Coturnix japonica: one gene and its partner. The protein of the gene in region 1 binds, or shares a complex with, the protein of each later gene. Links are inferred from orthologs where the notes say so. Each region holds a gene or a part of one and is shown on either strand. Other genes may lie near its edges.

Evidence for each region.
Region 2: CHD5 (region 1) and CDK2AP2 share a complex: the UniProt entries of both Homo sapiens proteins name them as parts of the nucleosome remodeling and deacetylase (NuRD) repressor complex. The link is inferred for Coturnix japonica from reciprocal best matches to the Homo sapiens genes CHD5 and CDK2AP2.

The regions. Positions count from the first base shown.
Region 1 is NC_029536.1:533,005-536,813, forward strand, and holds part of CHD5 (chromodomain-helicase-DNA-binding protein 5), read left to right. Parts: intron 1-40; coding exon 41-165; intron 166-770; coding exon 771-1,002; intron 1,003-1,091; coding exon 1,092-1,217; intron 1,218-1,329; coding exon 1,330-1,502; intron 1,503-2,228; coding exon 2,229-2,403; intron 2,404-2,717; coding exon 2,718-2,804; intron 2,805-3,243; coding exon 3,244-3,332; intron 3,333-3,483; coding exon 3,484-3,617; intron 3,618-3,791; coding exon 3,792-3,809. UniProt on the Homo sapiens protein: ATP-dependent chromatin-remodeling factor that binds DNA through histones and regulates gene transcription. May specifically recognize and bind trimethylated 'Lys-27' (H3K27me3) and non-methylated 'Lys-4' of histone H3.
Region 2 is NC_029520.1:566,848-569,459, forward strand, and holds CDK2AP2 (cyclin-dependent kinase 2-associated protein 2), read left to right. Parts: upstream 1-924; 5' UTR 925-1,052; coding exon 1,053-1,122; intron 1,123-1,313; exon of another isoform or gene 1,314-1,351; coding exon 1,352-1,428; intron 1,429-1,524; coding exon 1,525-1,657; intron 1,658-1,743; coding exon 1,744-1,811; 3' UTR 1,812-1,983; downstream 1,984-2,612. Other genes in the region: CABP2 (calcium-binding protein 2), read left to right, coding at 15-124, 218-365, 526-551; PITPNM1 (membrane-associated phosphatidylinositol transfer protein 1), read left to right, coding at 2,359-2,436. UniProt on the Homo sapiens protein: Acts as a component of the histone deacetylase NuRD complex which participates in the remodeling of chromatin.

The DNA of each region.
Region 1 (3,809 bases):
TTGTCTCACCTTCTGCCACCTGTGGGTTTGTCTTTCTCAGCTCCTGGTGCTCAGCAGTTCTGCTTTCTCCTCTCTACCCGCGCTGGTGGTCTGGGCATAAACCTTGCTACGGCTGACACAGTCATTATTTATGATTCTGACTGGAATCCCCACAATGACATCCAGGTTTATTACTTTTTCTTTTCCTTCCAGTACAGTAAGTACCTTTCTGGATGGGCCCCCTGTGCATTCTGCCAGTGAAATGAGCTCTCTCCTCTTGAGAGCTGCTGATGGTTCCTGCAGTTTGCAGGACATAGTTCTGTTCAGGAGCTGTTTGCACACCTCTATTGGCCTTACCTTGGCCTGTCAGCAATGCAGGGGTGGACTGGCCACTAAAACTGGCTTTCTTCCATGAGCTTCTGCCCTTCTCCTGCTGTTTGTCTGCAACCTAGTGTCCCTTCCTGTTCTGGGGACTTTCCACTTGCATTTCCAAAAGCTGTGGTAGATCCTATCTAAGGACTGATCTGCAGCCAGAGGATTCCTAGGAGGAGCTTTTCTGCACTGCCTTCAAGCCTTTCAATTAGGGGCCATGCACGAGGAAGGTGGCCTGCTCTGTAGTCAGAGGAGGGGGAAGGAGGAGTGTAAAGCCTACAGGTTGGCTCTAAGGAGCCCCTTTTGCTCCACTGCCCCATAGCAGCCTGAGATCAGCTTCTGGCTGAGGGGGTCCAAGACTGGGCTGGCTGCAGATGTGCCAACATTGGCTGTTCTGCAGTGATGTTCTCTGCCTGCAGGCATTCAGCAGAGCACACCGCATCGGGCAGAACAAGAAAGTAATGATATACCGCTTTGTGACAAGAGCCTCCGTGGAAGAGCGCATCACCCAGGTGGCCAAAAGGAAGATGATGCTCACCCACCTGGTGGTCCGTCCTGGGCTTGGCTCAAAGTCAGGCTCCATGACCAAGCAAGAGCTGGATGACATCCTGAAGTTTGGGACAGAAGAGCTCTTCAAGGATGATGTGGAAGGTTGGGTCAGGAGGGAGCTGGAGATGCTCAGAGCAAAGCCAAGCCCTGCTGGAGCTGCAGGGGCTCATTCCTGTGCCTTCCACTTGCAGGCATGGTGTCTCAGGGACAGCGGCTCACCATGCCGGATGCCGTCACCCCTTTCTCTGACACGCTGTCCACCAAAGGGGGTGCAGTGACTCCTGGCATGAAAAAAAAGCATGGTGGCACCCCACCAGGTCTGTAGCCCCTGTTACTGGGATGACTTTGCCCTGTGTCCAGCCTGATCTTGCCTGGCTCTGGGAGCACACAGTGTGATTTGCTTTCTGTTCCCCTTGCTTTGCCCTCCAGGTGACAATAAGGATGTGGATGACAGCAGTGTGATCCACTATGACGATGCTGCTATCTCTAAGCTTCTGGACCGAAACCAGGATGCGACCGATGACACGGAGCTGCAGAACATGAACGAGTATCTCAGCTCCTTTAAAGTGGCCCAGTATGTTGTGAGAGAAGAGGATGGTGTGGTAATGTGATCAGTATCATGTCTTATAATCACATCTGTTTGTATGTCCCTGTTTGTGCTTCTTCCTCTGCCTTTTTTGTTCCTGTGGGGGTTTCTCTGCAGGGCAGTACTCCTCCCTGCTCATTGCTGATGGTAGCAGTGATGGTGCAGCCAGCAGGACTGCAATGGCTAAATGTGGTTCTGACCTATTGTGACCTATCGCTCTTCTGGTACTTGGTTCTGTTCTTCTGAAGGCTGCTATTCTGAATACTGGGAGCAGGGCACGGTGCTGCTCATGCATTGTGCTGCTGTCATTTATTCTCCCTGTAGCTAACAGACTTCCTTCAGCTGTCTCTCAAGCTGATAGTGGGCTGCTATTCAGGGCAATCTCTGTGGATCTGTGATTGTTCCCTGGATGTGAGCACAGGCCGGATGGCAGTGTTCTCAGGAGCTATTTCTAGGTATAGGTGGCTGACTGGGAGGTTGTCTCAGCCCTTTGATAACCGTGCACTGAGGTCAGTGCATTTGGGTGAAAGTGAGACTCTGTGTACATGCATGTAGAGCAGGGTGAAGGAGGCACACCACTGGGTGGTCAAAGCATGTCTGAACATCTTGCTTACCAGCAAGTGTCTCAGTGCCCTCCTTCCATCCCTCTTCCCTAAAGCTCAGTAGAAGACGCACAGCAGTGTGGTGCAGGGAGGTCTGCAGCTCTCTTGTCTCAAGCCTTTTTGGTTTCCTTTCTTTGCAGGAGGAGGTGGAACGTGAGATCATCAAACAAGAGGAGAATGTGGACCCTGACTACTGGGAGAAGCTGCTGCGGCACCACTATGAGCAGCAGCAGGAAGATCTGGCCAGGAACTTGGGGAAGGGGAAGAGAATCCGCAAGCAGGTCAATTACAATGATGCCTCTCAGGAGGACCAAGGTATGGCTTTGACTGCTTGGCTCAGGTCTGGGAGCAGGCTCTGTGATTTTTGTTTCCTTTTGGCCTGTAACTGGGAAAGAATTGAGGAGAAACCTGACTGTGGGCAAAGTATTTAAAACTGGTTTGTTTTTTTATTTTCTGTGAAGGAAACTAATAATAATGGAAAAGTTGAGTCTGGTTTCCTGTTTATTTCTGGGTCTTTCTCTCTGGCTACCTGGGACTGGATGCTGGGGGCAGTGTCAGGGCTCCTGTTGTCCCCTTGAGGCAAGCTTGCAGGGTTCTCTCTCCTGACCTTGTCTCCTTGTGGTCTGCAGAGTGGCAGGACGAGCTCTCTGACAACCAGTCTGAGTACTCCATTGGCTCTGAGGATGAAGATGAAGACTTTGAAGAAAGACCAGAAGGTCAGAGTGAGTTAATGGACTTGATAATCTACAATGTCCTCTGCAGGAACTTCAGTGATAGCCTGTGATTTGGGGTGGGCTGGCACTCAAATGCAGCAGGGAGGTCTGAGCTGAAGAGACTGCCTTGCTTCTGGGGAGGCATTCTTTGCCCTGCTGGGTGAGGCAGTTCTCAGCACAGGGAGCATGACTTGCTGGCTAATGTAGGGCTTTGGTCTTGTCCTTGTGGTAGCAGTATCTGGTCTTCAGTGCCTCCCCTGGCATGAGGAGGCCACGTGAGTGAAAGGGCACTCTGAACAACCCTGACTGCCGCTGTGTGCAGGTTCCACTCCCATTGGGAAGGGTTATGGGAAGCTTAGGGCACAGGGGTTGATCAGCATTAGGTCTTTGGCCATCCCTCTGTTGGCTGGGCACGTTTGTTACATAGGTTGTATGACTGCAGGTGGCAGAAGACAATCACGGAGGCAGCTGAAGAGTGACCGGGACAAACCTCTCCCTCCTTTGCTGGCAAGAGTTGGGGGGAATATTGAAGTGAGTGTCAGCACTGGCCAAAGCATGTCCCTTGTCTGTCTGGTCCGGTTTGTGCTGCTCTTCAGCATCAGTCCTGGCTCAGGACCTGTAGCAGCTGTGAGGCTCTGAGATGTCATCATTTCTGAGGCCTCCCAACCTCTGCTCCCTGCAGGTTCTGGGGTTCAATGCCCGGCAGCGCAAAGCCTTCCTGAACGCCATCATGCGGTGGGGAATGCCGCCCCAGGATGCCTTCAACTCTCACTGGCTGGTGAGGGATCTGCGAGGGAAGAGTGAGAAAGAGTTCAGGTACTGTGATCAGGCATGAAGATGCCTGTGAGGCGTTCATCTCAAACTGCTCCATGATGCCATGTGCTGGAGGGCAAAACTCTGCCCTTGGCCGCTGGTGAAAACAGGCACTGCGGGTGCTCAGCAGGGAGCTCTTGGTCCAAGCTAGAGCCAGCTCTTGCTTTCTTTCCACAGGGCTTATGTCTCCCTGTT
Region 2 (2,612 bases), on another chromosome or scaffold:
TTTGGTCCTTCCAGCAGGCGGCAAAGTGGATTTTGATGACTTTGTGGAGCTGATGGGCCCCAAGATGCTGGCGGAGACAGCGGATATGATTGGGATCAAGGAGCTGCGCGATGCCTTCCGTGAGGTGAGGGCTGGGGGCAGCAGGGCCGGGATTGGGGGAGGGGAGGGGGTGCAGTGCTGGGAGCACAGTGGTGATGCTGGGTCTCCTATGGGGCAGTTCGACACCAATGGGGACGGGCAGATCAGCATGGCGGAGCTGCGGGAGGCCATGAGGAAGCTGCTGGGCCAGCAGCTCAACTACCGCGAGGTGGACGAGATCCTCAAGGACGTGGATCTCAATGGGGACGGCCTGGTGGACTTTGAAGGTAAATGGGGGCAGGGTGAAGGAGGGGGGGGGGGCCCTATTGATCCCAGCTTTAACTGGGGGACAATGGAGCCATGGATGGGGGGGCCTCCCTATTGCCAGCTGTATTTGGGGCTTATTGCCGGCTTTATTTGGGGTTAATGCTGTGGTTCTTTGTGCAGAGTTTGTGCGGATGATGTCGCGCTGAAGGGCCGGGACTCGCCGCCGTGCCTTACCGGGAGGAGGAGGAGGAGGAGGAGGAGGCGGCCTTCCCGGGCCTGCGCTGCCCCTCATGGTGTGTGTGGGGGGGGAGCTCCGGTGTTGGAGCCCCGTGTCGGTGTGTTGGCAGCGCTGCCGGTTCGCAATGAAGCTGTGTGCCGCCGGGTGCCGTGTGCCCGTCCGTTGAGTGCCGGGGGAGGCCTCTGGCCCTCGCTGTGGGGGTGGGGGTGATGGGGGGGTGCAGGACGCCGCTGGTCTCCATGGTGATGGGAGCCCGGCGCGCCATGTTTGCGTATCGGCGGCGTGCGCCTCGTGACGTCATCACCGCGCTCCCCCGACAGCGCAGGCCGGCTCCCTTCGTGCCGTCGACCAATCGGCGCCGCCGGGTCGCTCCGTCTGACCAATCAGCGGGAGGTTGTGGGGGGGGGTCGCCCCGCTCGCTTCCGTCTCCTGCACACGGCGGGCGCCGCTCGGCCCGGAGCGCTGCGGGATGTCCTACAAACCCATCGCGCCCGCACCCAGCGCCAGCCCCGCCCCGGGGCCCGCAGCCACGGCCGCCGGTGAGAGGAGCCCCGGGGATAGAGCGGGGGTGGGGGGAGAAGAGGGCGTAAGGAGGGGCACGAGGCCTGAGGGGCGGCGGGGCCTAAGGGAGAGGGACGGAGAGTGCGGAGGGGAGTCGGGGCTGAGGGAGGGAGCGGACGGAGCTGGGCCCGAGCGGGGCCGGGCTGAGGGGTGACGGGCCCGGCCCCAGTGCGAAGGAAGGGCCGGACCCGGGGTCGCTCCCCGCAGCTCCCAGCGTCCCTTCGCCGTCCGCCTTCCGCCCGCTCTTCAACGACTTCGGGCCGCCGTCCATGGGCTACGTGCAGGTGAGCCCGCGGGGCAGGGGCACGCGGCGGGAGGGCGGCGTGGGGCGACGCTGAGCCCCCCCCCCTCCGTCCTCCTCGCCTTCCATCCCCTGTCAGACCATGAAGCCGCCCGGCGCTCCGGGCTCGCAGAGCACCTACAGCGACCTGCTGTCTGTCATCGAGGAGATGGGCAGGGAGATCCGGCCCACCTACGCCGGCAGCAAGAGCGCCATGGAGCGGCTCAAGCGGGGTAACGAGCCCGGGGGGCGACCCTCTGTGACCCTCCCCCCCCCTTAAGCCCGGAGCTCAGTGCTCACTCATATCCCCCCCATTCAGGGATCATCCACGCTCGGGCGCTGGTTCGGGAGTGCTTGGCCGAGACAGAGCGCAACGCCCGCACGTGACAGCAGCCCCCCGACCCCCCCCCCCCCCCCGAGCCCCGCCGGTGGCTCCCCCCGAACGGGGCCACCCCCGGGGCTCCCCCCGCCCCAACCTTCCGGCTTTTATAAATAAAGGACGTGCTGCATCCCCCCCCTTATAAAGGAAATCCTCCTTCCAAGCCCCCAATTCCCCATATATACCGCTCCGTTTTAATTTCCCGGTCCGCCGCCCCCCCGCTTCTGACGTCCCCTCTGACGTCACGCCCCCCCCCACGCTGTTCCACCTCCTGACGTCAGCGGGCGCCCCCCACGCCGTGACGTCACACAGCGCGGGGCCGGCTCAGAGCGGCGCAGGTTCGGAAGGGGCCGAGCGCAGCCGAAGGGAACCGAAAGGAGCCGAAGGGTGACGGAAACAGCCGAAGGGAGCCGAGAGCGCGGCCGAGCGGGCGGGGGGCGCGTTGCTATGGCAGTGGGGAGGGCCCGGCCGAAGCGGGCCGGGCCGGGGCCGGGTTAACGGCGGAGGGCCGCGGAGCCCCCCCCACCCCTCGCCCCTTCCCCTAAACACGGCGCCATGCTGATCAAGGAGTACCACATCCTGCTGCCCATGAGCCTGGAGGAGTACCAGGTAGCGCAGCTCTACATGATCCAGGTGCGGATGGGGCCTGGGCTGCGGCCCGGGGGGGGGGGTCGTGTGGGGCCCGGGATCGTGTGGAGCCGTGGGGGGGTGCAGGAATGTGGGGCTTAGGGTGGAGGTCAGCGGGTTCGAGGCTGAGGGATATGGGGGTCAATGTGGAGCTTGGGGGGTTGAGGATGGTCTGGGGGATG